Linked DNA regions of Schizosaccharomyces pombe. Changing the gene in region 3 together with the main gene of any one other region gives a genetic interaction. Each region holds a gene or a part of one and is shown on either strand. Other genes may lie near its edges. The genes, in order: ins1, rnh202, oca2 and cwf28.

What was found.
Region 1: mutations in oca2 (region 3) and ins1 together harm fitness more than expected from each alone (negative genetic interaction), as found in Schizosaccharomyces pombe (one large-scale study listed by BioGRID).
Region 2: mutations in oca2 (region 3) and rnh202 together harm fitness less than expected from each alone (positive genetic interaction), as found in Schizosaccharomyces pombe (one large-scale study listed by BioGRID).
Region 4: mutations in oca2 (region 3) and cwf28 together harm fitness more than expected from each alone (negative genetic interaction), as found in Schizosaccharomyces pombe (one large-scale study listed by BioGRID).

Annotation. Positions count from the first base shown.
Region 1 is NC_003421.2:413,531-420,695, forward strand, and holds ins1 (INSIG domain protein), read right to left. Parts: upstream 4,138-7,165; 5' UTR 4,048-4,137; coding exon 3,475-4,047; intron 3,269-3,474; exon of another isoform or gene 3,250-3,268; coding exon 3,086-3,249; exon of another isoform or gene 3,003-3,085; coding exon 2,894-3,002; 3' UTR 2,627-2,893; downstream 1-2,626. Other genes in the region: histone H3-K4 methyltransferase Set1, read right to left, coding at 1-1,997; family protein BIG1, read right to left, coding at 4,946-5,789, 5,852-5,943; SPOM_SPCC306.07C (U3 snoRNP-associated Cic1/Utp30 family protein), read right to left, coding at 6,470-7,127.
Region 2 is NC_003423.3:4,069,993-4,077,685, reverse strand, and holds rnh202 (ribonuclease H2 complex subunit), read left to right. Parts: upstream 1-1,590; 5' UTR 1,591-1,964; coding exon 1,965-2,846; 3' UTR 2,847-2,969; coding exon of another isoform or gene 2,970-3,320; 3' UTR 3,321-3,382; coding exon of another isoform or gene 3,383-3,448; 3' UTR 3,449-3,567; coding exon of another isoform or gene 3,568-3,653; 3' UTR 3,654-3,734; coding exon of another isoform or gene 3,735-3,815; 3' UTR 3,816-3,920; downstream 3,921-7,693. Other genes in the region: SPOM_SPBC1347.09 (hexaprenyldihydroxybenzoate methyltransferase), read right to left, coding at 1-236; rex2 (RNA exonuclease), read right to left, coding at 2,970-3,320, 3,383-3,448, 3,568-3,653, 3,735-3,815, 3,921-4,095; serine/threonine protein kinase (CK1 family) Cki1, read left to right, coding at 4,552-4,677, 4,761-5,975; DNAJ domain-containing protein Scj1, read left to right, coding at 7,021-7,101, 7,176-7,264, 7,320-7,693.
Region 3 is NC_003421.2:756,605-766,473, forward strand, and holds oca2 (serine/threonine protein kinase Oca2), read right to left. Parts: upstream 6,021-9,869; 5' UTR 4,250-6,020; coding exon 2,297-4,249; 3' UTR 1,764-2,296; downstream 1-1,763. Other genes in the region: protein Emc6, read left to right, coding at 761-820, 902-1,157, 1,247-1,257; heterotrimeric G protein beta subunit Gnr1 , read right to left, coding at 9,566-9,869. UniProt on the Schizosaccharomyces pombe protein: Overexpression causes cell cycle arrest.
Region 4 is NC_003423.3:3,989,073-3,995,822, forward strand, and holds cwf28 (splicing factor Cwf28), read right to left. Parts: upstream 3,914-6,750; 5' UTR 3,766-3,913; coding exon 2,620-3,765; 3' UTR 2,540-2,619; downstream 1-2,539. Other genes in the region: serine/threonine protein kinase Ppk25, read right to left, coding at 1-214; fes1 (Hsp70 nucleotide exchange factor), read left to right, coding at 1,595-2,458; signal recognition particle receptor alpha subunit Srp101, read left to right, coding at 4,385-4,585, 4,764-5,924, 6,003-6,284; oms1 (methyltransferase), read left to right, coding at 6,566-6,750. UniProt on the Schizosaccharomyces pombe protein: Involved in spliceosome maturation and the first step of pre-mRNA splicing.

The DNA.
Region 1 (7,165 bases), 340 kb from region 3:
TTGATATCCATGAGGGGTTCATCCTTGAGTGCCTCTTGAAGATATGAGTAATCTTCGTCATTTTTTACCAAGTACTGTAGACCATCCAAGTCAAGAAGTACATCGTCTTCTGGATAATTGTAAGGAAGTGCACCATAATAAACGCTTCCAGTTTCATCAAACTCATTAATACGCCATTTGGGAGCTAAAGCTAAAACTTCATCAATCTCTTTCTTAGGCGATATGAGTTCATCTTTTATGGCGCTACCTGATTTTGGAATCGCAGCACTAGGAGAAAGTATTGATGCATCTGATTCGGTTTCGCTGGACGAAGTATAGTCAACTTCCATCTTTTCATATTTTTTCTTTGATATTTTAGATTTTGTACGAAAACGATGGAATTTGTCATTTTCATCAGATGTATCAGAAAAAACTGGAGTCGCCTCGTCAGACTTCACAGACTTTATTGAGCCAATCTTCCCTCTTTCTACACGCTCGTCTCCAGAAGATAACAAAAGTTCTTGATCAGACTCGGCTTCAGAAGCGCTTGAGTTATACATTTGATTAAGCTGGTAGTGTAAAGGTCGAGCTTCGTGCCTTCTTCTACGTCTTCTTTGAAGTTTCGACTTCGTTTTACTACCCGCTGAAAGATTCATTTTACTGGAATCAACTCGTTTTTTAAATTTGGGAAGACTGGGGAGCTTTCCGACTGTTGATTCAATTTTTAAAGGAACATCAGGAACACTTGTAGATGAAACCAATAAATTTTCTTGTAGTTCTTCCTTAACAGAAGGCTTAGGCATTGAATGAAGATATTTGAAGATTGCCGGTCCAATTATTTTACTTTTTACATCACGTAACAAAGCAGCCTCAAGATCTCTAAGCACAACTGAGGTTGCTTCAGCGTACGCTTCCTCGGGAGGTAAAACAACTCTTCGTACTGCGCTCTTTTTTCCATCTTCCTTTGTACGTGAAGGAATGTCATGAAATTTCAATTTTATGCGACAATTTTGTACGTATGTACGATCCAGCGCACGGTAACAATTGCTCGCTTCGCGATAATTATTAAAAGTTATATAAAACCCGTCTTTGTTCATGTATATCTTTTCATACAAAAATTTTCGAAAATGATGCTTTATATCAGTATAATACACACGATCTGGAGGGACAAAGCGATCGTCAATTAGTAAATAAATATAATCATTAATATTTTTTGGAACATCAGTCTCGCTTGACGTAAGAAAACCTGATTTCTGGTCCACGTTCTGAACTTTAGAATGTTGCAAGTCTCCATTGCTCAATGTTTGTGAATTTTTCGATGGTTGACGCCAAGGAGGAATATCTTCATTCATAGCTGCAGATAACTTTTGCCGCGAAGATTCATCTTCCCGCTCGAATCTCTGTTTCTGTAAAGTTTCTTCTTGAAATTGCTTTTCAACAGCATTTAAAGCTTTCTTGAACGCTTCTTCGCATAATGAACCATCCCGATCAAGGACTACTGAAAGAGGCTTACCGGAAAACCTCAAGCCATTTGCTTGTTGTACAGCAATTTTCGCTGAATGTGCTGCTACAGAAATGGAACTACGCTTGTCAAAAGATATACAGCACAACCCTAAAGAAGTACCTGTATAAGGGTTTAACTTTAAGTCTAAATCGAAAACTTCCCCAAATGATTTAAAATGATATCGGAGCTGTTCAGAAGTCACGAGCGGTGAGATGTTAGAAACAAAAACCTGAGTTGGAGGTTCTGGACCTAATGAATTCTCATTGTAGTCATAATTTATAGTTTGCAAAGATTTTAAAAATGGCCTTCCACTTTTAGGAATACCGCGGGCATATATTGGATTTTTAAGTCTAGGGTCGCGAACTACTAAAGGTGGTTTTGAAACACCATTAAACCGATATATAATTTTGCGACCAAGGTTCTCCTTGATTCCTAATTCTGGATCGTATAAAACTTTGTAATTATTCCTTTGAACGGGTTGAGATTTCGACCGCGTAGAGGTATTAAAATCCATGGCTGATTAATATTGAATCCAAGTAGCAAATCCCAGGCATTCGATCAAAACAAAAAAGAGCTATAAAGTAAAAAAAAAAAAAAATCAAGAGATATTAAAAACCTGTGCACTAAATCAAAATCAAAAATTTGGTAACAACTCGATAAGTGTAATTTATTCCAATAATGAGCCTTGACAAATTATGAAAAAAAAAACGTTATGTAAAAAGAAATAATATCGCCGGGATGAAGAGCTTTCTATTGTAAAGTATTTGAACCGTAATTCAGCTTATAATTGGAAAAGTATGTCGCGCGACGTTACTTTGTAAATTATAACAATATTCAAAAACTCAAGTAAAACTTGATCAGTCTTCAAATAAATACGTTCATAAGGCTAATAACAAGTAAAAAAGCTCTGTCAAACATCCGTTTGGCCAAACACAAAGTTTATAGGATCTCTGTGGATGTTTGTGTAAGGTAGGCCAATTCATATTACGCGCCACAGTAGCTCTTATAGCGAAATTTAGTAAAATCGTTATCCAAAGATACCGTTGCATATTACACTACCAATGTTGCTGAAGAGAAGCAAGAATAAATGGCTTGAGAAAGGAAAACTTGTAGATGAATGTTTTAGAACAAAGACATAATTATAAACTACATGAGGAATATTAGGAATCATAATAGAAAATACTAACATGAAAAGATTGTTGGTACATGATAGAAAACCGATTCGCACACAACGATGAATGAGACGAGAAGGTACAAAAGGATAATCGAATACAGAAAAACCAAATAAGTGCCCAGATGCGAAGTAGGAAAACATTTAGCAAAACAAGTTTAACCCGGTTGTTTTGGATAATGAAGTCTAAGGCTAAAAAGAGAACGTAAAGCACAAACAACCAACTCCTAGAGAATAAATTAAAATAGTAGACGACCAGCGTTACCAACAATCGTAGAAGCGGAGAAAAGTATCATAGGAATCCATAAACGAAACTGAATTTCAGGGAATTCAACTCCATTTAACTCACTAAATTTGTTAGCTGATAAACGAATGTTTGAAAATACTGGAGCAGCCTTTGGTAGGCAGTTGATGGATAACAACTAACATACATTTTTGAGGTATCAACCAAATTATAATATAAGATACTCCCCAACACAGAAGTAATTGTCGACAAAATAATACCGTTTCTTGAGCGATCAAATATATACCAAATGCTAGCAGAACTCGCAACGAGTGCAACAATGGAGTGTGAATTCGAAATAAATAGTAATTTCTAGAGATAAGTTAGCAAGAGTATATTCACGATGCATAGTAAGCATTGGCAAAGAGGGTTTACTATCAAACTTAAATTCTCAGAAAACAGCACAACTTATTTATGGTGATGAATAAACTATATCAAGAAGTCGTTACGCATAGATAATTGCTGTAACTCCATACATCTTGCATATATATTTCACTTTTTTATTTAAAGGAACGCCTCGTATAATGTAAAACTTACCTTCATAGAAAGTAGCAATGTAGCGAAAGCAGCAAGATACCGAGAAATCCATTGCCATTTAGACGATTGTGAAGGGCGTAAAGGGGCAGCTCCCAAAGGATACTTCGTATCCATACGTCGATAAGAGAGTCCAAGTATGACAGCAACGAAGCCAAAAATTGCAGGCCATGGGGGCTCAAATTTCCAACTTTTGAGATTGACCGTCAGAAGTGGTAGCTTTGCATCTTGCACAATTTGTTCAGCCAAATAAGTAAACACAAACCCTAATCCAAATATAACACAAAGCTTACAAAAAAAAGTTATTAAAGATGAATAGTCTATAAATGTTATCCCTTTCTTTCTCTGTTTCTTTAAATCATCATCGATCTGTCTAGACGCGTAATCTTCATAACTACTCAGGGATTCATCATCTTCTGCCTGCTCTTCATCTAATTTAAGTGGAGCAAAAAGCCCTGATAGTGTCGATTTCATATTGTCCAAAGAAAGTACCGACAAGGACTTCTTGACCGCTCGATTTCCATTATAACCATCTGGGTAGCGCGGACGGGGTTCGTAAATCTCTTTTCTGCTCATTTTATTCAAGCTTACGGCACCTTTCTGTAGAGATCCTTGTGAAACTGACTAAATGGATGGAGAAGAATCAATCTTTACGTTTAGGTACTTGGCAGAATCGAGACATTGCACAAAACACGCATAGCCCAGTGACAAGTAACAATTTTGAGTAACAAAGATCTCAAGTAAGAGAGATCTGAAATGAATAAATATTTACAATCACTTTTATATGTGAATTTGACCTTTCTAAATTATAGAAATATACTCAAAACTTTTCTGCATCCATATTACTCTTATTGTTAAGGTATATTGTGCTTTGATCACTTGAAGATGCATGCCATAAGTAATGACAATGTTAACTAATAACGAAAATATCCAAGGAAAAAACTCTCGCAAACACTCATTCTACGAAACAATCAGCCACGAAGAAATTGCTTTAAATAATTAAGGAAATTTCATAATTGAGTCTGTATGCCTAAAGTGGTTTCTCTAGTTTATTCAAAGTATAGCAAATTCATCTACTATTTTTAAAACCGCAAAACAAAAATATTAATTGAATAGAATACAAAAAGCAAAACAAAGTTATGCTGACTACATGATGCCAACAACTTTCACCTTCCGTAGAGAATCATCATAAAGAAAAAACAATATTATGGTTATAAAGTTTGTCTCATCACAAGAAATAAATTCTTCAGTCCAAAAAACTATTTAATAGACTTCAATATATTAAAAAACAAAGATCATTCTAACCATTTGGACACCTAAGGAATTGCGCTGAAAGGTAAAAATGTCACCAAACTATACTTATCAAGAACCATTTATGACAATAATTTTCTTCTAAATTAAGTGTGAGATGTATCAATTATGAAAGAAAGAAATAAATTGAAACTTCTTCAGCTTATTCACCTTAAGAAGAGGTTTATAACTGTTTGCGTCGAGGACTATCAAAAGCGTGATAGCTGATTTGAATAGAGGAAAGTAAACGGCAAGAAATAAACAAAGTTGGAACCAATACAGCCAATGCCAAATAACCCATGTACAAACCAGGAGTAAAAAATTGATATTCGGTAAACAGTCCCGTCGCACCATTGTCGGTGACAGGGTGCTTCCTTGTTTGGTGCATAGCAAGCGTGGTTTGTGATCCCTCATTTTGATCAGGTAAAGAAGCCAATTGGCCGTGTTGAAGAGCACTCTTCCCTGAGTTGAGACCACCTAGCGTTTGAATTACAAATTCAGCATTGGCCTCTTCTTCGTTAGCATCAACCTTAAATCCTTCAAAATCTGAGTTATTCAAAGGAGAAGAGGCTATAATTACATTCCACTGAGCATCTTGTTCCAAGGTAGATTGTAAGTTGTAGAACATTTCATCCAATTCCATTAATTGTGCACTTCTATGATAACTTTCATTTGACAGTTCATTCATGTAAACAACAGTTATGCGATCATTTTGAAGAGGAGGAAAAGCATTAAAGGATCCACCCAAGTAAACTACCTCAACGTCGCAGTTTTGCTTTGCCGAATGCACCAACTCTTGTGAGTCCAAAGACTCCTTGGAATAAGGAAGAAGTAAGCTATAGGGTGATTGCAAAGAAACACGCTTTAAATGTTTAAAAGCTCCCAACTGAAAATCATTAACCTCAAGGCCTGGTTGATGTATAATTAAGGTAGCTGTATTGCATGTCGAAAGTGCCTCAATTGCGGCGTCAAAAAACATCATAGGGCAAGTGGATATTGAAGAATCATCGGATGATTTGGGGAGTTTGCTGTTTTTAGTTAGATTAAATAATTTACACAGTATAATGCCATCGATGGATGCAGGACATACGAGTTCGTAGAAAATAAGAAAATCGGCGAAGTATCTTTAAATGCTGATACTAAAGAAAAGCAAACTATAAATAAAATACTCCAAGAAAACATTTTGACACTAAATTTTCTTTACTTTGGACAAGTTTGGATGTTGTCAATTGCTTGAGCGTTGGAGTGGTAGAGAATAGCTCTATATACTACTTTCAGTATCTAAAGGTACTAAAATCCTTCTGAATGAACAAGCTACATATAAGCAGATAGATTATGTAAATATAACATGTTATTTACGAGAAAAAAATAATACTACAAAACACAAGACGGTGTAGATTTTGTTCCAAAATCATGACAATAGTCCATGACACTTGTTATACACAAAAACCCTTATTTATTACTCAGTCCAAAATACCCGTTTATAAAAGACGTGCCCTTGTAAATCCCTTTTGCTTTCAGCCACTCAAAGCTTTTTCACATAACTAATTAACATCGAAGGAAAGAAATGTATCAGAAATTTGAAACAGGCAAAGTCAAATGGTGTTTATAAATACATTGTCAAAACTCTTTCTTCTAGCCTTAGTAGAAAAATGGTAATTATTTTAAAATACTTTTTTTTTTCAATTTAGGAAAGCGAAAGTCAGTTTCACTTATTCCCTTTGCCTTCTCCAGAAGAACCCCGTTTTTGAGCACGCAGTTCACTTTTCTTAAGAGGTCTTGCATCTTGAATGTGCACAATGTGTCTTTTATGAGCAGCAAGATTGGTGTCACTAGTCCAAATTGGCAGAGAGGCACTGTCAGCTGTTTTAATCGCAACATTATCAATTGCAGACCACCCTTTCGGAATGAAATTAGTTAGCAGACACTTCAATACAGTCGTAATATTCTCCAACAATTGTTCATTGGTTTGAGTGGCCAAACCACAGAGAATGGTATGACTAGTGCCGGCAGATAACTTAAGATAAGTAGAATGAAGACAACGAGCAACTTGATTACGCAAAGTCTCTTTCTTTTGTAAAACAGAAATAGGAAATGGCTTAATTTTTTTCTGTTCAAAAACTTTCCCCATCAATAGGGGGATGTATTTTAATACACGATCATCAACCAAAAAAAGGTTGTGAGAGTCTCGTAGCTCACATTTTTCTCGGATTGTTTTATACTTTAATTTCAATCTCGGGATGCTAAGTACTTTTGTAATGACTTCGTCAAGCCCTTGTTGCTCCACCAGATCTTGATATGTCTGCTGTGAATCTTTCACAATCAAACAAGCATCTGTTACATGCATTATCCTGTGCGGAAGGAATCTGTAAAATAGTTAGTACCTTATAATTTTAATGAAGAA
Region 2 (7,693 bases), on a different chromosome or scaffold from region 3:
ATACCACTTTTCTTCCAAAAATTATTTACATTTGTCAAATCATCATCCGAAGTTAAAAGCAGCCTATCTTGATCATATTTTGGGAGATCATGTCTTAGGCTGGTTTCGGAATTGTCTTCAAACTGTAAAATTTTTGAAGAAATCACTTTGGAAATCGCCAAGGTACTTGGATTGTCATATTTCGATGCTTCTATTTTGTTGTAATGAGACACGTTGGCATAAACTATATCCGACATGATATTTTAGTTCCTTTTATATTGTTAATGAACGGTGAAGTCTTGCTAATAGGAATATTAAAAAAAAAGATAATCAAGGACTATCTTTAAATGGTTATGACTGAAAATTTATGTCACAAGGTACCACGATTATGAAAGATTAGCACAATTTCCCTTTTTATGATTAATATAACTAAAACTTATTAAGCGAGAATTTGTTTAGAACTATTATTGGATGTTAGACAGAAAAGAGCCTGTTAATATAGAAACTTCAGTAGCTTCTTATTTTAACTAAATTATTGTATTCGACAGATTAGGATTCCTGTGACCGTCCTTTTGCTTTTGTATAACGCTCATTTTTGTATTACCCTAATACCCGAATTTTGTAAATAAGCTTGGACTTTTTATATACTACTGGAAACCGCTGCGCATAATTTAAGAAGCTAAATTGGGTTTCGTTCCAACACACTATTTGCATTGAATTGTAAAGTATTGTTTACATGAATCGTTTTGAGTAAATCCCTAGGTAGGGTGTTAAATGAAGCAATTAAGCATGATTCAAGATATTCGTTAAAAAGTACGAATCATTTGGCCTAAATTGTTAGTCTAGCTGACTTGCTGCATGGCTCTCAAAGTGGCCCGCAAGAAAGGCTCCATAAATTGCTCAGATCACTGTAAGTATTTACTGTTAAGTAAAAATACAAAAAGGAGCTTCGCTAATGAAACAGTAATTTGGAAGTTGATCTATTCATGTCACAAAAAATGCGGTAGCAATGTAATAATGTTATAACCCATTTTGAGACTTACACCGAAAGAATGTACACGAGGAAGATTCATTCATCAATGGTTTAAATAACACATCAACCACCTTTGAGGTACTTGCAAGCAAGGAAGGTCATATTCGTTCGCTTTTAGTTACTTCACTAATTTTCAACTAATGTACTTCACGTTTTTCATTACTTTACAATCAACGTAGTAGAACATGTAGACTTAGTCTTGTTCACCATTATACACTCTTTATGTATAACGTCCGCAACCAGTTTTTTTTCATTAAAAAAAAAAAAATTCGATGTGATAAACAGTTAGTATAGTCAATCTAGCAATTATTAAGATGAGAAAATACTCAATGTCTATTTTATTAGTTTATTAAGGATATCTATACTTTGGCTTTTCAATTTAACCAATGCTGTTTTTTTTTGGTACTTGAAGCCGCAAGCTTTCTATTCAATTCACTACCGTGGTTTACCATTGAATTTCTCATAACTAAGATTGCCGCTCTTGACTTCAACATCGACTGTTATATTTCTTTTTTAAGAATATGCATTTCATTTTTTTGTACTGCTTTCTTATAAAGATGGAGTTCTTGACTAACAACGTGTCTTGAACAGACAACAAAAAGTCGGTACGAATCTCCTCTTACTTCAGCCATCTTTTATATCAACTTCATGATTATCTTAAGAGGAACAATCAATTTTATATGCTTAATTTCTTTCGTATATGTACAACTAGAGTCGTCACTGTTTTAAATTTTGATATACCCAAATCGTTGTCAATACTTTTACAAAATACTCATCTTTAGCTGAAAGTTACACAACGAAATCTTTCTAATTAAAAAATTGTGTTTGCAAGTACTCAGAGTTGTTTTCAATTGATATCTTTGCATTTTTTACTTTTGTTGCAAATAGTGGTACGAAGTTTCAGACGTGATTGCCTCACAAATTTTGGGGTTTCATAATTTAAACTTAAAAAATGCAGGGAAAGATATTCATACTACCCAAAGATTCTACAAATCAACAATTTGTTGAACTCTCACATCCCTTGACCGGGAGACCACTTCGTTATTTATTAACAAACGATCACCTTTTACAAATCCTTCAAGTTGGGGATTCTTCAAAACAAAGGTCTTGGTTTGTAGGGGATCATGTAGTATCGGACGGATATCTCTATGTTTGCACCCCGATAGACTTACTCGCGCTTGTGCTTCCAATCATTCAGGAACTTACTTGGAGTCGCCGGAAAGAACCGAATCGATATGTCTCGTTTGAAGACTTCATTGAACACTTTGATAATATGGGTCCTCATTATCCACGAGTGTCAGAAGTCCTCTCTCCGAATTTGTTGAACACATTACATCGGATTTGTAAAGTAAACGAGCCAGTAGGATCTTTGCCCAAGACCTTTCAACTGGATGAATCTTCTGTTGTTAAAATTTTACTAAGGAAAGCCAAGGTTGCTCAAGAAAATCTTCCCCCTAGTATTGTAACCGAACTTAAAAAACAGTTAGCGCCTTTGGACCTCCGCACGCCGCTTCCACAAGATTTACTAGAATTGTCATGCAAGTGGCATGCCGCTTCATTGGTTTGTGAAGATCTTCAACCTGAATGGTATAACAAATTAGCCTACTGGCAGGAAGAATTGGCCCCACTGCACGCTTACACTAAAAACTTAGAAGAATCAAGAAAGATTTTGGTAGAAAAGGAAGCTTTGTTAAATTCTAAAAAACGTCCACAAAACAGTGATATTACATCAAGTCTTTTAAAAAAGCCCAATCGGAAGCAGGCCACCAAGAAGTCCAAATACTTCTCAGGAGAAGGAATGACGAAAATATCTTCATTCTTTACAAAAAAGTAAGATCACCGAGGTATGATTTTGCTTTTATTTTTTTCTTAGCATAGTACCCTTAATTTTTTTGGCATGTTTACAAGATATTGTCAATTGCTGTAAAAGTGGAATTCTTCTTTCTTGAGCAATGTTTCAAGAAAGCCAATAAGAGCGGTAATGTTGAAGTTCACCAATACTTTCAAGAATATCCGACAATGCGCGATGATCACCCTTTTTATCATAAGCAGGAATATCCGGGCACCAGCGTTTGGCTAATTCCTTAATAGTAGAAACATCGATAATTCTGTAATGCAAATGTTCGATTATCTTTGGCATCTCGACAGATAAAAACCTTACGTCTGCATGGACACTGTTTCCAGCGATTAACGCTTCTCGTTTTTTTGGAATGTATTTTTTAATGTATGCTAACAACTGGTTTTCAACGTCTTTCACTGTTAAATTACTCTGTCTACATCTTTCCGTAAGACCACTTTTCCCATGTTGCTGTTTATTAGTATAATTAGAAAATTGACATCCGTGAATGAACTAAAAGCAAGAAAAGATACCTCAATACACCAGTCATTCATTTCACTCAATTGCTTTTCGTCGAGTTTAATAACAGCATCAAATTTCTACGCCTTAGTTAGTATGACAGCCTTAATAAACGCTCAACTTCGAAACCATGCATTTGTTTCTCTTGAAACATCTCAAGTTAAAAGCCGATGTTTCAATGTTCACAATTAAAAGTTACCTCTTCAACGGGGCGAAGATTTCCATCAGTAATGATTGCCGCGACCTCCATCAATACATGCTTTCCCACCTCTAACCCGGTCATCTCTTCAATCATATTAGTACAAGTTACCTATAAAACCATCGTAATGCATTTTAAAAGCTAAGATTATACTAAAGCTCACTAACCGCAATCAATCCAAACAAGGGGCTGCTTTAAATTCGACATTTTGAGGTTGGAGAATGGACTTTTCAATTTTGAGATGAAATCTTTATATTAGTAAAAGTTTAAAAACTGAGGTACACATCGACAAAAAGAAACTTAAACATGTAAATTGTAGAAATGATAACTTGATAGACTGAATCTAAACATACTCGTATTCGTTGATAAGTCTTGCTGGAAAATGGGTTTGGAAATTTGACAAATATTTTTGCGATATGTTGGCTGCAAGAAGCGCGAATGCAACGAGCTAGTGCGTTTGCTATACAAGCGTTTTTTAATGTGATATGACTGCAAAATGATTCTATTATTTAAGAATGCACCTTGCATATGAAAATACGGTATTATTACTTAATGAAAGTACTTCGTTGTAAGTTGGATTTTAATATCCGGGATTTTTTAAAATTAAAAACTTAGCTATCGATTGATTTTTGCAATGAAAACTAGTAATAGTATGTTTATTTAAACGTTTTGAAACAGTGTTTGTATTCCAAAGACAGCATTACCTAACCCCTTAATCAGGCAGGAATAGAGGGAAGTGATGCACATGACACTTCCGTAACTAAAGCACCACTAAAAACATCCGTTCCAACACCATCCACCTCTTTTCTCAATAACGGCTTGAATAGTTGTAATTTCAAGGTTTGTATAGGAGATCTTTGTGATTCAATCTAATTCATAAAAGTATTTAAACAGGAATCGCTTACAACCTAGTTTTTTGCATTCGATAGCGGAAAACGGAGACATCATATTTGACAAATCTCCAGCACAAATCGTTCAAAGATAATGAGTGGACAAAACAATGTAGTCGGTGTCCACTACAAAGTTGGAAGAAGAATTGGCGAAGGCTCGTTTGGTGTTATTTTTGAAGGGACGAATTTGTTGAATAATCAACAAGTAGCCATTAAATTTGTAAGTGAGAATCCATTTGATGCCATGCTTTGAAGCTGGATATTTTTCTTGTTTCCTTCATTACTGATTGATTTTGCTTATAGGAACCAAGACGCAGTGATGCTCCTCAATTACGTGATGAATACCGTACTTACAAGTTGCTGGCAGGATGTACGGGTATTCCGAATGTTTATTATTTTGGCCAAGAAGGGTTACATAACATTTTGGTGATTGACCTTCTTGGGCCAAGTTTAGAAGATTTGCTCGATCTCTGCGGCCGTAAATTTAGTGTAAAAACAGTTGCTATGGCCGCAAAACAGATGTTGGCAAGAGTGCAATCTATCCATGAGAAGAGTCTCGTTTATCGAGACATTAAGCCTGATAATTTTTTGATCGGTCGACCAAACAGTAAAAATGCTAATATGATCTACGTAGTAGACTTTGGCATGGTAAAATTTTATCGTGATCCAGTTACCAAACAGCACATACCTTACCGGGAGAAAAAGAACCTCTCGGGTACTGCTCGTTACATGTCTATTAATACTCATTTGGGTCGGGAGCAATCCCGTCGAGACGATTTGGAAGCCTTGGGTCATGTATTCATGTATTTTCTTAGAGGTAGCCTACCTTGGCAAGGATTGAAGGCTGCCACCAATAAGCAAAAATATGAACGAATTGGTGAGAAAAAGCAAAGTACCCCGTTACGCGAGTTGTGTGCTGGTTTCCCGGAAGAATTCTACAAGTATATGCATTATGCTCGTAATTTGGCATTCGATGCTACTCCAGATTATGATTATTTGCAAGGCCTATTTTCGAAAGTCCTAGAGCGATTAAATACTACTGAGGATGAAAATTTTGACTGGAATCTATTGAATAACGGTAAAGGTTGGCAAAGCTTGAAGTCGCGAAACGCAGAGACAGAAAATCAACGTTCAAGCAAACCACCAGCACCCAAATTGGAATCAAAGTCACCAGCCCTGCAAAATCATGCAAGTACTCAGAACGTAGTTTCCAAACGCTCTGATTATGAAAAGCCTTTTGCCGAGCCGCATCTGAATTCTGCAAGCGATTCTGCTGAACCCAATCAAAATTCTTTACCTAATCCGCCAACGGAGACGAAAGCTACCACAACTGTGCCTGATCGTTCCGGTTTAGCAACTAATCAACCAGCACCCGTTGATGTTCATGATTCTTCTGAAGAACGGGTTACCCGAGAGCAAGTACAAAATGCTACGAAAGAAACAGAAGCACCTAAAAAGAAAAAATCATTTTGGGCCAGTATTCTTTCTTGTTGTTCTGGCTCCAATGAAGACACATGAATAATATGTTCTACTAGTATTTAGGAATTTCTTGATTATTTTGTTCTTCAGACTGGTATGGATAATCAGGCTTTCAGTTGACAAAAGTGTTTTTGTGATTTATTTTTTGTGCCGTAACGATTTTCTGTGCTTCATTCATTTAATTATACACTTTCTTTTCATTTTATTTCTTTGTCCAAATCCTTCTTCTTAGAATTGCTAGCAGGGTTAACTTTTGCATTTTTTCTTCCTTCCCGGTAATCTATCCTTTTTTATAAATCTGTAAAATGTACGTTTGAAATAATTACTTTTCTTTAGGCTTCTTCGCGTATTGTCAAACTGGAGGTTACTTATTGTGATTAAAGCAATGATATCTTATATTTGCACAGGTTCTTTGCTTTTATGTTTTTTTCCGTTTATAATCTTTGTCTCGTTCAACATTTTGTCTTTTGATCACTTCCGATGATATTATGCGTTCCTTGAGCATAAAGGTCGTTGAATACTGCTTGTCAGTCTATTTTTAGTTATTTGGACTCTCGTACATATGTGTAGAGGTTTGAACACCCACATCTATCTATCTATATTATATATATTATGTGTATATGTATTTACGTGTACATAGATATTATATTATTATTTATCATCCTTACTCTGCCTCAAATGACTAAAGGCATACTTACCCTCTGAAATAATGAGTAGTTGGTTTTTGGAACTAAAAAATTTAGTAATAAAATTAGCATGTAAAAATATTTCGAAATATTGCTACCAACAATTCCACCCGATATTCGTTGAAACAAATATAAAATTATCAACTATTTGGACTATTTAAATAACCTATGTGGATCCTTGAAATGGATTAATTGTATTAATAAAAATATTTTCATATAGTAACTTTTATGACATTTCTAAACAATGTTAAATTAAATTTATGGTTTCGATAACCACGGCGATGAGTATACCGAGGCGTTGCAAACTTGTCCTGGATTTCTTCAAGAAAATCTTTCTACATAATACCATTCCCTTGTTAAAGTGAGCTAAACTCCAACTCGCTTCCTAAACATAGTTAATGCATTTCAATCTTTTTCATTTTATATTAGGATTTTTAGTTTGCATTCAAGCAGTTGTATCTGCTGCTGACTACTATCAAGTAAGTGCATGTGATCGTAGGATTGAGAAGAAAATTAAAGAAAAATGTTCACTAACAACTTCTCTCAAAAACAGATCCTTGGAGTCAGTAAAGATGCATCTGAATCTGAGATTCGCAAAGCATATAGACAATTGACGAAACAATGGCACCCTGACAAAAATCCGTAAGTTAAACAAGCATGCAAACAAATGAAAGCCTAAAGCTAATAAATGTTCTAGAGGTAATGAAGAAGCACAGGAGAAGTTTATTGAAATTAACAAGGCCCATGAAGTCCTTTCTGATCCTGAGCAACGTAAGATTTATGATGCTTATGGAGAAGAAGGATTAAACGGTCAACCTGGTGGTCCTGGTGGTGGTCCAGGTGAAGGATTCCCAGGTGGAGGTTTCGGATTTGATCCATTTGGTGATATATTCGATAACATATTTGGCGGACGTAGACGTCAAAATGCCGTTCGCAGAGGACCTAGCATGGAGCAAATAGTTCAAATTCATCTTTCATCTTTTTACACCGGAGGCAGTTTTACCTTGGAAATTCCGGTGAAGAGAACTTGCAGTGTTTGTAGTGGTCAGGGCTTTAATCCTAAATACTCCG
Region 3 (9,869 bases):
GCAGCGTTGGTATGCAAATACATAGTATTTGATCATAAACATATTAACGATACGTTAATTTGCGGTGGATTATACTGTGCTATTTAGGTATACAATTTTTGGTAAAGAAAAAAGTGATCGTGACTGAATGATGAGAATAACTATTCTATTGTAAATAAGAAATGAAATTCGCTTTTCGTTCTCTTGGAAGTATAAGCATGTCGCTTTTACGAATGTTCACGAGTCTCTAATCCTTTCGGTATACTGTAAACAATCTAGTATGTAACGTTTCATCCACCATTTTCAAGTTTTAGAATTAGAAAACCAGTAATACAGGAAATATAAGATGATACTTTTTTCTAAAACAAATAAATATGAAAAATCGACCTTGATGTAAAACGAGAACCTCTTTTAAACAATGCGATTTCCCAATATCCTAGTAATTAGCCCATTTCTGTTCAAAAAAATCAAATGGAAAAAAATAAAGTACTCAATTGTATTGAATAAACTATTTCACCCTCCAAACTAGCCAACATTCAGCCCAAGCAAAAAGTAATGCTTTTTCCCATATCCATATCGCTTGTAGCTTTACATGAAAGATTGGCAATTACGCAGTTTGCAAAATGCTTTTAAGGATACGTCAAGCTGCGAAAAAATTACGTTCCTACTAAGTCCTTATGTAGTTAATACCGCAGTATAAAGATGCGTTATCCATCATTTTTTGGTTATAATTCTACAAGCGGTGAACTCAACTAAACATCAGAATTGTTCATAAGCTAATATGGAAAGGGATAAAGGCGTCGCTCCAATTGTTGTAGAAAATGTTGCATATAATGAACAGGTAAGAAATGATTGCAGAGCTAGATTTTCTTGGTACTAGTTTTTTTAAGGATTTTATAATTGAGTGCTAATGAATCCAAAGGTCGTTTCTTTTGTTCGAAACTTGACTTCTAGTTTTTTCGGGTGCGCAGCTGGTATTTTGGGTTTAACTTCATATGAAGGGCTTGCTCTGTATGTACTCGGTTACTTCTTCGTCTCCTTTCTACTCTTTGCATTGAAAATGCGTGGTAACTTAACTAAGTATTACCAGCCCGGATATAAGTTTTGGATCGCTAAAATATTAGATGGCGCACCTTCTTATGTTTTAACTTGGACATTGTTCTACAGTTTAGTATATGGTAAGAAACTTGCTCGATCGTTGCTATTTTATTTTGTTTGAATAGTCAGATCTCGCATTGAAACAATTACACGCTAACTAAGTCATTAGTTTATGAGTAATGTGTTTAATTTGATTTATGCATTTGGCAATTAATCCAAGATGAACCCTCCTTATTCTTGTTCAGCCCTTTCGTTAATAACACATATACCTCATTAAGATCTATTGTTTGAGAAAAAAGTGGATCTCTTCCTTTTGTTCGTGAACCCATCCTATAAATATTTTGTATTTCCTAATAAAACACAAATCTAACTGTTTTTTTACATTTCTTTACTTTTCCTATAGAAAATAGGATATTTGTTTAAAATATATTTGTCCTGTCAGCGATGCTAGAACATAGCACACACATTCCGTTGTATTCATGTCGTCTTCCTTAAATTTGATTTCGAAAACTTTGCATGAGATATGTTCTACTTCTTTAAGAAATTGTCTCTAGTGCTTAAAAACTAGCTGCTTCAGGGCACATGGATGCCTAGGCATTTATTTTTTGAACACGTGTTTTACCATTATTATACAGTTGAAGTAAACACTGCATATATTCAATATTTGCAACAACTTTGACAACGGTTGAAAAGGACAAAATATCATATTCAAACACGATCTTTGAAAATTTTGAGACTAATGAATTGTATTGTATTATCTAAACTTACTAAAAAATGAAAACCAAATTCAAAGATGCGACAATTTTACATTTATTTTCAAAATTGTAGAGATATTTTTAATCTACCACAGTAGATTTCCCCTATTTACCATATAAATAACTCATAAACAAGCTAACCTCACAAAGACAATAATAATAATATAATAACCAAAGAAAGAAAAAAAAAATCACCAACAATCATAAAGTTGAGCTGATAAAAAAGGGACTGACTATTAAATAGAGGAGATTATAGTAAGAAATTGAAATGTCCCTAATAATCAAAGAATAAAGTATTTTTTAACATAAAAAAAGTCTGAAAAGAAAACTAAGTTACACCGTCAACGATTAAGAGATTAGCTCATTAACAAGCCACCACATTATTCATTTTTTGGTATCGTTTAACAGATCACCAATATCCAAGGCGACTTTGTAAACAAACGTGGGAAAGACAATATAAGTTTTTAATGCTTTGCAGGTGGAGCAGGTGACTCTTCTGAAGCCACCAAATTATGGACATGTGTTGGAGAATGAATAACTTTACCATTTTCCATATGGCACATCGAAATATCATTAATCCAATTGTCTGCAAAGACCCTGTGAATGTCGTAACGCTTAACAGGATCCAACTCCAACATATGAGCTATAACAGCACGAGTTTCTCTTGGTAGTAGGCGCAAAAGTCTCCAGGGTCCATACAACTCTTGTTTATGAGTTGAAGAGTTATCAGTTTTAGAGTTTGGACTATGTGATTCATCGGTTTTTCTAATAGGTTCGCATCCTTGCTCGACTAAGCGCTGTTTTTTTATGTCAGCAAGTATATCACTGGGAGACTCAGCATCATTTGAAGGCTGTTTCATACAAAACAAACGGAAAGAATTGTCTGAAAGCTTGGGATATTTCCAAGGAAAGCGGCGAAGAGCCATACAACAGAAAATAATGGCGGAGGACCAGATATCCACTGCACGAGGATCATATAGTTTCCGGACCAAGGTTTCTGGTGCAAGGTATGGATCCGAACCGACAACACCAGTGGCCTCAACGATATCGGCTTCAAAGGGGTATTTGAAAACGACAGCGCTACCAAAATCAATGATTTTAACAAAGCAATTACTATCCACAACCAAATTATCGAGTTTCAAGTCTCGATGCGCCAAACCCATCGAATGTAAATAGGCAACACCTGAGAGAAGTTGTTTGAAACAACAATAAACTTCAGGCATTGTCATCTTACCACTCATTACGATGGAAAACATATCGTATGGAGCATATTCCATAACTTCATAGAATTTTTTATTTTCCTCAACAATATCAAGGGTCTCAATAATATTGGTATGGTGCAAAGCACTACCAATACAAAACTCAGCAGTAACCTTTCTGGCATATTCACGCTCGGTTTCAGTAGGCCTTCTTGCACGGAATTCTTTGACGGCGAAAATTTTACCATCAGAAGATCGCTTCATAATACGGACAGAACCGCCTGCACCAGAGCCAAGCATTCTTCCAAATTTTCCGTATTTTTTGAAAAGACCGAAATGATCATCTTGGAGGTTAGCGGAAGATTTTGACTTGGAAACAGATGGCTTTTTCTCCTTGTCTGTCTTTTGATGGGATTTGAAAAAGCGACGAAGATCTAAAGAACTATGATGTTTTTCGTGCTTGTCATGCTTATCATGCTTGTCATGATGATTAGGAACAAGAGATTTCAACGATAAACTACCAGAGTGTCCATGATGACCATGCTTTCCATGATGAAGACCCAACTTTCTGAAAATGAACTGTGAAGGGATATCATGTGGATTTGTCTTAATAGGAGCACGGCGGGTGCGTCGATAAGGATCGTTGGGATCGCCGACAAGGTCTTCTGAAGAAGGGTATGCCTGAAAAATGGGGGAGCGATGATGCTGAGTGTTAAAAGAGCCTTCATCAGATTCGCCTTCACCACCACTGCCGCTGTTTTGTGAAAGAGCAGGAGAGGTGTAACCAGTCGAACCTGAAGGTTTAGGACTAGCAGCATGTAAAGCATTTTCAGTACGAGGGGGAAGGACGGTAGAAGAATTAGCAGAGCCATGATAATCATCTTCATCCTCAGAGGTGATAGCGGAAGGGGGAATGGAAATAGGTTCGAAGTGACGTGCAGCAGATGAACGATAACGATCCTCGGCAAGTTTAGGGTCAATGTGATTCTTTATATGGACGGGGGATTGAACTCTGGGAAGAGGATGATTCATATCATCGTCCGTATCAGCGTGCTCAGAAAAGTCGACAGGATGCAAACGCTGAGGAGGGTTACGAGGAGGACTCGTTATTTTTAATTCAGTGTCAAGTTTATTTTCCAGTGAGGAACTGGAATTGTCTGATTTATGATCGCTATCCCCATTAAGGTTAAACTGTACATTGGGAGGGGTGACAGACATGTTCGTAACGGCAATCATGTGCAATTGTAAAATAAAGAAACAAAAGAAATATTCTAGTTCACTGAAGAGCAAACCACCGGTAAGATTAGAGAAAAAAGTGTTTTACAATGAACCAAACAACAAGTGGAAGGTTTGGTAAAAAGGTAAAAAACAGGGAAGAAAAAAGACAGAAAACTTCAGAATACAACAAGGAAAATACAAAAGAGAAACTTGAATGAACTCAAAGGAATGTAGTTGTTAAACTATTTAACAATACAAGTTTTCAAGTACGACACAAAACAATTGCGTAAGAAAGTACGATTCAAAGAGGCAATCTCAAGACGGAGTGAATGGGAACACAAGAAATAAACAAACACGTCAAAGAGAAAGTAGAGAAAAATCAAAGATTTTTGACAGATATTAGTTTGTAACGGAGATACTGTCAGACGAGATGGGAAATTGAGGAAATGTCAAGCGAGTTTTTTTTAAAACAACGGATGACAAGGGAAGAATGAATAAATAAATATATAAATAAATAAATTCCAAGTAAGAAAAGGGTTGAAGAGAGAAAAGAAATAAGTATTTCCTAAGAAGATAACTTTTTTTTGATGGGAAATCGAGCGCTGACAACAACGAATTGGTTATTGTTTATGGAAAATTCTTTGGCGCAACGACAAAGGAATGAGAGATTTCAAGAACAAAAAAAAAAGGAAATAAGGAAGAGGGAAAAAAAACAATACTGGAATTAATTGGGAATGGGGAACCTTTTTATAGGTATATCAGTAGATATTTTCCAAAGGGAGAAATTCAAGGTAAAGTGAGCCGACGAGACGATCCGATCGATCACGACACACAAAGAGGAAAAAAAAGAGGCTTTAAGAAAAGCACACAAAGGAAATAAAAAAAAAGAGAAGATAAAGAAAAAGTGTGAAAACCTTGGGTTCAAATAAAGTATGAAAAATGAGAAATGAATTGAGATTACGAAACAGGAAATTCTATGTATTCATAGAAAATAGAACGTACGTAAAAACAAAACAAAACAAAAAAAACAACAACAAAGAACAAATCAACCCAAAAAGGGAATTCGAAAGAATGTTGATTGAAGGAAGAATACCAAGGGGGAAAGAGAATCACACAATTCACTCACTCACTCACTTTCGGGATACCGATCACACCAAATAACGAAACGGAAGAAGCCGGAAAGAAGGGAGTGGAATAGGAAGGGTGAAGGGACGAATGGCAAATTGAGTAGAAAGAATTCGACTCAATGAGGATGGATGGATGGATGGAAAATTAAGGGAATTGGAAAAAAGCGTAAATGAATAGAAAAGTTGGAAATTGATTTGTTGTTTTTCAGAAGAAATCACAACAATAACAACAATGTTTTGATGGGAAATAAGATCTTTATGCTTTATTCAATCTTTATTTTTTCGTTTACTTTCTCAAAATTCTTTCAATTCCTGTTTTACCCAGAAAAGAAATCAAAGGCAGATAGACCAAAGGGAATCAAAGCAATGCAATGGACAAAAAAAACTTTCGTTTTTCGTATCGTATCGTATGGTTTGATTTGCTTTTGCTTTTGCTTTGTTGAGTCAAAGTTGTTGGACTATGACTGACGGGGGAGTGAAGTAGAGCTTTTTAGTATAATTCAAATCTTACAATGAATTTTTTTATTTGCTAGTTTAAAAAAAAAAAAAAAAGACGACGAGAAACAGGTTCAATTCCTTGATAAAAAGGAATCAATCAATGTGGCTCTCAACAATACTATGAAAAAAAGTGGATGGGAAAAGGCAAAAAGTATTGCGGTGCACGGCAGGTGTATATAATATATGTATACGAAACACGCAGTCTACTACAGCATCTCCCATGTAATCTCGAATGGCCGCTCTACATCAACTGCCGAGTCGCATTGGATGGAGGAGCTAGCAAATCCACACGATCTCCGGGAATCCCACCCATGCAAGTGCCGAAGTATGATGTCACTTTTAGTTCGGCTACAACGTGTTACCTCCGGCGAGCGACTCCACAATCCGTTGCACCGCGCTAAACGCTGAGAGGAAGAACGAAAGGCTAAACGCTAGCAAGCAGGGGGGATGACGTGGGGGAGGGCGAAAGGGAGTTGAGTGAGCGAGACAGGCGGTGTGTGGGGCGAGAGAGGGGAGTAGAGGGGAATAGCGAAGAGGAACGCGACCTCGTTGGGGAGAAGGAGAGCGAAAGAAGGTAGATGGGGGGCGATTGAGAGTCGAAGGAGGAATTGAGATGGGATGAAAGGGAGAGGTTAAAGATGAATAACGTATAAAAAAAGAGATTGTTATAAGAGATAGAGAGATGGAGAGAGCTAAAGAAAAAATTAAAGAGGTGGAAGAGTAGCTAGAGCTAAAGTGTTGAAATTAGCTAAAGTATGAAATTCACTAGAGTGTGGGAAATGTAGATAAGTAAATGATGATTGACATGTTTCATTCAATACTTTGTATCATCATTTGTCAGGAAATTAATTCCGTTGATGTTATCATTTCATCCATCTGCCATGGTCATTGCTTCGTGCGACCGCCAGTCGCTTCCTTTTCCATTGAATTTGGATCCGACCGTTTGGTGGAAATTTGGCAGAGGATCAATCGGAAGGAATGATCGGGTTTATTAAAGTTGAAGGAAAGAAGGGAAAAAAAGTTAAACACAAAATAAAGTAAGGAGGAGGAGGAGGAGGAGGATGAAAAAAAGAAAAGAAAATTTCAGCAACCCAAATCTAAACAAGGGGAGGGGGAAAAAAAGAGCGGCAGTAAGCAAGAGGAATGGGAATTTAATTAAAGAGGAATAGTGATTTGATTAAAGAGGAATAGTGATTTGATTAAAGAGGAATAATAATTTGATTATAAGAAGAATAATAATTTGGTTCAATTCAATTCAGTTTGATTCAACTCTTGTTGCTTCTCACTTGCCTTTCTCTCTCCTGTTTATTGCACACACTATTCCTCGTTTGTCATCTCGCCCATCCAGCATCCTGACAATGACACTAGTACGAGGGAAAGACATTGGAGCATTTCTAGAGCAAAAGCAAAAGCAAATGCAATTACAATTACAATTACAATTTTATTTTATTTTTATTTTTATTATTATTTTATTTTATTTTATTTCGTTTAATTTAATTTAATTTAATTTAATTTAATTCGATTTTATTTATTTTCTTTTAATTTTTCCTTTGTTTCCTTTTCTTTCACGGCCGCCCTACAAAATTTTCTTCTTCCTCATCCAAACAGTCAGACGGCCGAACACAAAACAAGAGCAAATGCTAGATGCTCATGAAAAAGTAAAACTAAACTCGATTGACTTTTGAGACTATATGCACATCAGCCTTTCCTTTTGTTTGTTTTTTTGTTTTTTTTATTCTTTTGTTTTGTTTTTCTTCTCTTTACTTTTCTTACCAGCCCTAAAATTCTGTGGGTTTGTGATATCACTATATTTCGTTATACCACTCTTTTAATGACATCTGTATATCTCGTTATCTTCATCTTTTCAGTGACTTCGCTGTACCTCTTTATATCCCTTTGCTACTTGTTTAGTTAGTTGGTCTAGTTTTTTGTAGCATTCGTTATTAGTAAGATCCTTTTGTGGCTTTGTTTGTACTTTGCTTTGAATCGAACGGTTTTTCCTTTTATTTTTTATTTTTTATTTTTTATTCGCTGGCTATATTGCTTCAAACCATTTCTTACATTCGAATGGTTTTTTTGTTTTTTAAGCATAAAAACATATAACATTCACTCTTTGACTAGAATTCAAAACAATTGCCAACATCTTTTTGATTTTTCTTCTTTTTCTTTTCCAATCCATCAATGTTTCTATCAATGTCTTACAATTCTCTCTCTATCCATCTTTCATCTCATCTTTTTCTTCCTCTTATTACAGACAGACACCTTCTTCGCTCACTCTTTCCTACTCTCTCTCTCTCTCTTCCTTTGGCCGCTCCACGTTTCATTCCATTTACCGGCCTTCCTTATTTCTCGGTAATGGTTTTTCCGATCGTCACGGTATTGCTCTTGTCTCTTTCTTTACCCACCTTGGCGCGCCCTCGGCACTTGACTTGACTTGATTGCCGACAAAGTCAAGGTGTAACATAATGGATCTGCCCCATCAAACTTTTTCCTTCCTCCAATCGTTGGCCTTAAATTTACTTTTCTTCCAATAAGCTTTTCATCTGCGTTTAAACATTTTTGCTTCGGTTGATGCATCTGACGTGCTTGGGTAACACCTTTTGCTCGTTGGAAGATTTTGCACTTGGTTTTCAATTTCCGCTATACTTTTGTTACCGGTCTTTATCATACTTGCACTATACAATATTATCGCAAATATTTAACGTCTCGTTGGTTTCGCCGAAGGACCGCCCCGCGGCTGTCTCGGTTCACTCTCCAACAGTACTCCAGACTGTGGTAACGTGTTTGTATGCAGCGTAGAAGGATTTGTTTATAAGATTTCAATCTTTTTTCTTTTTCTTTTTTTTTTCTTGGTTTTAGAATTTTTATTTTTATATATTTATTGATTAATTGATTTACTTATTGATAGATTGGTTGGTTCATTTTTTTTCTTTCATCTTTTTCCAATCTATATGTATGTGTATATAAATATTTTTTATTTTATTATTTATTTTTTATTTATTTATTTTTTTCATTTCCCTCTATTTATTCACTCCGGATCACTTCCATCCTTATGTTATTTTAAAAAAAAATTTTTTTTTTCTTGTTCTATACTTCTGTTTATTTTCATGTCCTTTTCATTTCGTTCAATTAATTTCATTCCATTTCCTTTTCTAATATTTTTTTTCCTTTGCGATCGCTACCTTTTCCATACATATCTTGTTTTTTCCTCCATAGTATCCACCTTGTAAAACAAAATTCAATTAAATTGAAAAATTAATATTTTTAACAAATTTTTGAAAAGTTCGAAACTGCTGATTTACAATTTTCATCCATTCTTTGCTTTCCATTTTCTCCATTTCTCCTCTACTTGCGACACTTGGAAATCCATGTATAACCGAGTTTAAGGTTATTTAATAAGCGAATGTGTAGTTTTATTAATACAAAGATTGTTGCGCTCTTATAATCAACTATTTGCATAAAATTCATCTCTTTTATTTTTTAATTTATCATAATCTAAATAATGAAACCCCTCAACATGTCTGAGGACTCCTCCTGATTGCGAAAAAAACACCCATTCACCAATACACCAATTTAGAACCGGTTTTCTAATGTTTTTCTATTAATAATCAAATCATCCTCATAAAGTTCTTCCTTCAAGCTCACCATTTTTTATTTTTTCAAGTATTCATTCATTCCAAATTTTGCTTTTTCAATCCATCCAAACCTGTAAAGCCGAAACCGTTCCTGTCCAAAGATCCTTCTCTTTACTTTCATCCTCTTCTTCACTTTCATCCTTCTCATACTTGTAAATTCTATTTCCATAACATACACACTTTATCTGCATGTTTATAGGGTTCGCTTGTACTGTGTTTACCGTCAAATCGTAATTTCCCGTCACATGCGTTTCTTCCACAAGATCCTTGTTTCTCCATCTACGAATACTTCCATCCGTCCCACCTGCCAAAATTTCATCCTTTTTATCAGTGTCGAAAAGAATCCTTTGGTTCGTATCG
Region 4 (6,750 bases), on a different chromosome or scaffold from region 3:
TTACAACGAGTTTAACCTTTCCCATACTGCCAGCACCAATTGTTTTCTTGATAATCCAGTTTCCAACTTGTCGACCAGGACCAGCTGTGCCAACGAAATCAGATATAGACCTTTGATGTTTTGTAGACTGATTTATTTTTATATTCTGAGAGCGTTTAGGAATAGAGAAAGTATCCCAGCACTCATTCCTTAGGTTAGTTGTGTTCGGTTTCATCTTCTCAGCTGTAAAAGGAATTTATGAACAAAATTGTGCTTAAATAATTCAATTACAAATGAAGTTAAGAAAGGAAGAAGTAGTGTCTTAGATAAAATTATCATAAAAAGAAAACTCACTTCACATAAAAAGATATATTGTTCTTAGTAACAACAATACTATTAAAGTGTTTTTATCACTGTAACGCTTAACTTATGTAAAAGCAGACATTTAATTTTCAAGTGAGAATCCACTCACATGGAGTTTGCTAAAGGTTGAGACACTCCTCTCAAGGTTCTTCCCTTGGCAAAATTATTTGGTTTGGTCAGTATGGTACACGGGACGCGTCGCGACGTTAATTAATTTGTTTCGTTAGTGTGCGTTATACAAAATGTAAACAAATAATAAAACTCGTCAGAAAACTTACCCTTATTTACCAGTATCTTACAACAAATGCATTGGATTTATGAAGGTTACTTAAATTTGTTCTTTTTTTACATTAAAGAAAAAAAATTATGGTTTTGAGTATTTAAAAGCGATGGTTTTACTTTTTTTGGATTTTGCAATTTTAAGCATCATGTTGATCAATTGATGTTTTCTTATAATAAATGAAATGAATGGATAAATTTTTATCAAAAGCCCATTAGTAGTTATTTTTTTTTATAGCTGTTATGATAATTGATCCAATAACTTAGATTATACTAATTGACTACAATGCGTTGTGTTACTTCTTTTACAATAATGGTTGAAAGTCAGATGCTTAAAAATGAATTGTTGATTTTCAGTTCTAAGAAATAGTACATTATACATACTGCTCACTGTTTGTTTTTTTCTACCAATAATTAATATCGCCTGAAAAGAATTAAAAGTAGCTTTACTGAAATGCTTCAAAATAGTAGCATGTACTTCAATCTTAAAATAGTGTTATAAATATTTTAAGAGTGAGAAGAAAGCTTTTATTCTTTATTCCAAAGATCCACTTCTCAACTAATACGTATATTCCAGCGTAGTACATTTATATTTCTTAAAATTTCATCCGCAGCTTTCCTACACATGATCCATTCAGTTTAGCTTGCAAACACGTTACTAAGCAACTTAAGGATCTGCACAGTTGTGTTAAGATTAATTATGTGAAGTTTATACCTTCGTAAAAGTTGCTTAACGAACCCTAATATATTTATTTAGGATTTTGCTAGAATACTCTAGGCAGTAATCTACTTCGCATTTATAAGTGCAAGTTCCCATTAAAGCTTTAAGACTTTTTTGTATCTTACCATTTTTACTAACTTTTGCTACTTTTTCTTTTTGAATTTTTATTTGAATAAGCATTTTCTACCCAAACCGAAATTTTTATTCAAAAGTTCAAATTTTTAGGTATTATTATTGTTTATTCTTGACACAATGGAGAAACTTTTGGCCTTCAGTACGCAGTTGCAAGCTCAAGGAAACTCTTCCAATTCTCCTCCTGATCCTAAAGACCTTGATCCCTCAGTTTTAGATCATATTTTTGGAGCAAACCCAGCTGATGAAATGAGGAAAGCGATGGACGCAATTGAGGATCCATCGGTACCTTTAGATCAGAAAGAGATAGCTTTTGACAACTTAGAAATGCTCGTAGAGCATATTGACAATGCAAATAATTTGGTTCCCCTGCAATTGTGGCCTCGCCTATTGAAACAGCTTGAGAGTCCGGAATCTACCTTGCGCAGATTAGCTGCTTGGACGATCGCAACTGCCGTTCAAAATAATCCTAAATCTCAACAAGCGCTTATAGAAAATGATGGATTGAAGATTCTCTTCGGCGCCCTAAAAAAAGAGGATTCGGATGAAACAAAAAATAAAGTCCTTTATGCAATAACTAGTGAGCTTAAACTTAACGAAGCTGGAATTGCTTTATTAGATAAAATCCCAAACTCTTGGGAAATGCTGATTGAAATCTTGGAGCTTAAACACTCGGTTATGACAAAACGAGTTATCTTTTTTTTCTATGCATTACTTATTCAAGAAGATAAATCAAAACAAATTATTCTTCAAAAGGCACACGAATTTCAGATTCCAGAAAAAGTTTATCAATTCAGTCTTGAACATTCTGTCGATGAGGATTGTGTTACCAAATCTCTTCATACACTTTATTTATTCCAGAAAAATAAAGTGTCTGTCGCAAATACTAACGAGTTATTAAAGTCGCTCGTACAATTTAAGTCAGAGTTTCCTGAAATTTTCACCGTCGATGAATGGAAAGCATTTCACGAAGCTCTTGAATAAAGGTTGAAAGCTTCGATTACTATTTTTATTATTCATGTGGACTACGGAGCAATATAATGAGATGTTTTATTTCGTTTATGACTGATAAACAATTTTTTGGTTATTTGGAAAGGATACTCTAGTAACTGTGGTACTTAAAAAGTAAGATAATCGTAAATTCATTAAAGTGTACGAGTACTTCTGTAACTTCTATCTGGATTTTCTCTCTCAGTATATCTATCGCTTCTATGAGAACGTTTTTTATATGAATAACTCCTTCCTTGATAGTAATCATCTGAATAACGGTCTGTTCGATGTTGTTTCCGGCGCTCCGAATGGTATTCGCGATACTTAGTTCTGTCTGGATCTCTATCGCGTTTGTTGTAATTTCGTGAATTATAATCTAAATGTTTACTGCTCACTGAAGACTCTCTTGAGAGGTTGTTATCTCGGCTTCTTTTTCTGAATAGTTCTGAACTGGGAGTTAAGTTGTCAATGGAATTTGACTTCTTCTGTACTTCAGTATGTTCGTTTTGTGAATTCAGAGCGGAATTTGATTCTAGAGGCTTAACAGGAAGAAACATAGTCTTTTTTGGATTTTTCCAAATATCCAGCTCAGTAAGTTCGGAATCCACAGGCTTGGCTCCCATACCCAAAAACGTCGGCCTTTGATTAACATCAAAAGCATCTTTAGAAGATAATTGACCATTCCAACCCATTCCTCGAAGCATGGCGGCGCCAAATTCTTCAACCGGAATTTCCGAGTAATCTTTCATATTAGAAGGCTCCGGAAGCTCGTCAATGTCTTTTCTATATGCATCTTTCTCGTTAACAACATTAGTGGTAATCGGCTGTAAGTTGGCAGAATTAGCACTTTTAACATCGTCATTTAAATCATTAAGGACAAGTTGGACTTCTTCAGGAAGAATATCAGTACTTTCTTTATTTGTGGCTATCTTATTTTGAGCCTTTTCATTTGAATTATTTGCCTTCCAGTCCACAATTTCATTATCCGCTGCTGATGAAGAAGCCACCCGAATATTTAGACCATAATTTAAGCCGCTATCTGGCAATTGTGAAGGTTTCTCATGAACTTCTGTTTCTTTTTTTTTAAACCTGGCTTTTCTTTTTTCCATCCAGTTCTCATCACTTGCAATGTGGATTATCTTTGGCGCTCTTTTCTTTTCGTGTATGCGCTGAATAGTTTCATTCTGATAATGAACTCCCTCTTCAGCGCTAAATCCAGTAATAAGTTGAGGACCTTTTAATTTTTTTTCATCTTCATCCTCAGAATCGCTGAATGCTTCTAATACGGCTTTTCGCTTCATCAGAGTTATTATGATAACTCACTTGTTTGCGACTAAGCGTATTACAATGAACAAAAAAAATAAAATGGCAAAAATCGGCCAGATTATAAGTAGGAAGGAAAGTTTAAAATTACAGTGAAAATAGTCTTGAGAATAATCACATTCGTACAATGAGAGTTGTGAAGCTTTTCAGGAATTTTTCGTTGCCCAGACATGGAATAGTGTGTGCTCCCTTTACCTCTTTATTTGGATTACAGAATTCATGCTCATTTCTCCCTTACTTAAAACGCACCTTCAAATAGCAGTAAAAAAATAGCTTTTTTATTTAGTGGCATTTTTTATTAATATAAAAGTATAAACAATTTTGGTTGAAACGAAAGCCTACTGTTAATATCAACCTTTAGTCTCAAATTGCATCTATCCTTGTATAATATTGCATACAACAAGTTTTAAGGTAATCTTTAAAATACGTTAAGAAAAATATGTTTAAGCAAATAGCTTAACTCAATTAGCACCATAGATTTGGTATAGTGCGTTATTATGTATTGTACGGCAGTGAGCAATGTGTTTAATCAAGAACACTCCTTCTTAGTTGGTGAGTAGTTTACTACTTTTAAAGCCATTTGTGATTGAGCCTGGAATGATTGACTTGTTTGCGATAGTTAATAAAGGAGGCATAGTACTTTGGAAAAAAACAAATTCTCTTGTTAATTTGAAATGCCTTCAAGTTTTATTTCACGAAGCTTTCTTAAGTGAGCAAAGAACGGTGAACAACACCGTAACATTTGATCGGTACACCATGCAGTATCAAGAGGCTACACAATATAGCATAGTTTTTGTGGTAAGTTTAATATATTGTGATTTGTGCTTTGACAGAAATTGTCAATTACTATACACCCAAAATGAGGTCCAAAAATTTTTTTGTTTATACTTTATCTTTGATTTTCTATTATTTGTCAAAGTCAAAGCCATACCTTTATCGTGTCATTTGAACTTAATTAACGCGGTTGAATTTTTAGGTTGTGTTTCAAGATTTGAAATGTATGGCATATTCTCAATCACTGCTTAATAGTGCTCATAATATATTTCTGAATCTATTTAAAGAAAAATTAGAAGATCGTCAAGTTCCTAATGAAGCAGAAGTTGAAAAACTGTTCGCTCCCATTTTTAATCGTAAATCAGCACAACTGGAGAATGAAACAGACACGAAATCTTTACCTGTTGAGGCTAATAATGATAACTCAGCAAGAAAGAAAAATGAATATGAAATGAAGAAAAAAGGCGCTCAATCCAAGCAAACAAATGCCCCTAAAAAAGGAAAGAAGCAACTCAGAAAATGGGATGATCAAATAACTGAGGAAGAACAGGCTGCATTGAACTATTCTAGTCAAGCATCTTCTGCTTCCCAAACAGTCGATAATTCCCAACTTTCTTCTATTGTGGGTAATAATAATAAGTTTCAAAAGACTGGTAGTGGTGATGTTATTATAAGTGATTTGGAAATGGATCCCAATCAAACAATTTCCAATAAATCTGCATCTTCTGCGTTTTCCCTTTTCTCCAACTTAATAGGTGGGAAATACTTGAAGGAGGAGGATCTTAGTCCAATTTTAAAGCAAATGCAAGAACATTTAACAAAAAAGAATGTCGCAAATTCTATAGCTCTGGAGCTTTGTGAATCTGTGAAGGCTTCGTTGATAAACAAAAAAGTTGGTTCGTTTGATACTGTGAAAAACACAGTAAACAAGGCCTTTCGGGATAGGCTTACTCAAATACTCACCCCAAGTACATCTTTGGACCTTTTGCATAGTATTCGTTCTGTACGCAAAAACGAAAACCGTCCGTATACCATTTCTCTCATTGGCGTCAATGGTGTTGGAAAATCTACAACATTGGCTAAAATAGCGTATTGGCTTTTATCTAACAACTTTCGAATCTTAGTTGCTGCCTGCGATACTTTTCGCTCGGGTGCAATTGAACAACTCGGAGTACATGTGAAAAATCTCCAAAGTTTGAAGGGTAGCTCCATTGAATTATTTGCACAGGGATATGGTAAAGACTCGAGCTTTGTTGTTAAGAACGCTGTTGAGTATGCCAAGCAAAATAGTTTTGATGTTATATTAATTGATACTGCTGGCCGGAGACATAACGATCAAAGGCTTATGGGATCATTGGAAAAGGTAATTACTTACAAAATTGATTAAGTATTGAGTCTTCTACTAAGATAGAATTGTTTGAACTTTGAACTAACATAACAGTTTACTAAAGCTACTAAGCTGGATAAAATTTTTCAAGTGGCAGAAGCATTAGTAGGAACAGATTCCTTAGCACAAGCAAAACATTTCCAAGCTTCCCTTTATCATCGCCCATTGGATGGTTTTATTATTTCTAAAGTTGATACTGTGGGTCAGCTAGTTGGTGTTATGGTTGGCATGGTATACGCGGTAAGGGTACCTATCATATTCGTAGGCATTGGACAAACTTACAGTGATCTTCGTACATTATCAGTCGACTGGGTAGTTGATCAACTGATGAAGTAAGCCATTAAATGTTTACCTTTAACTATAAGATTTTTTACCATATTATATTAATGGGATATCAATTACTTTGGTAACAATTTTTTTAAGCTTAATTGTTTTTTTATTTGTTCGTTGAATCAGTATTCGAGATTTAGTTTTGTATTGGTTTCCGTTTAGTACCTTTCGCAGTGCGCGTGTGGGTCAATTTAGCGATTTCAAATATTCTAATATCAAACCGCTAAAATCTTGTTTTTCTCATTTCATTCATTCAGCGATTAAAATACTTAAAAATATTAAAAAACATGGGCATATTAAAGAAAACTATCTTTATAGGAGGTATATACGGTCTAGGTGTCTACATTGGTGCGGTAGCTTGGAGGTTGAGGAAAGATGTTCTCAATTATGAATCGCGACAGAAGTCAGACTTATTAATTCCGAACAGCAATAGTATTTCAATTTATAATCAAATTGCTGATAAATATAGCAG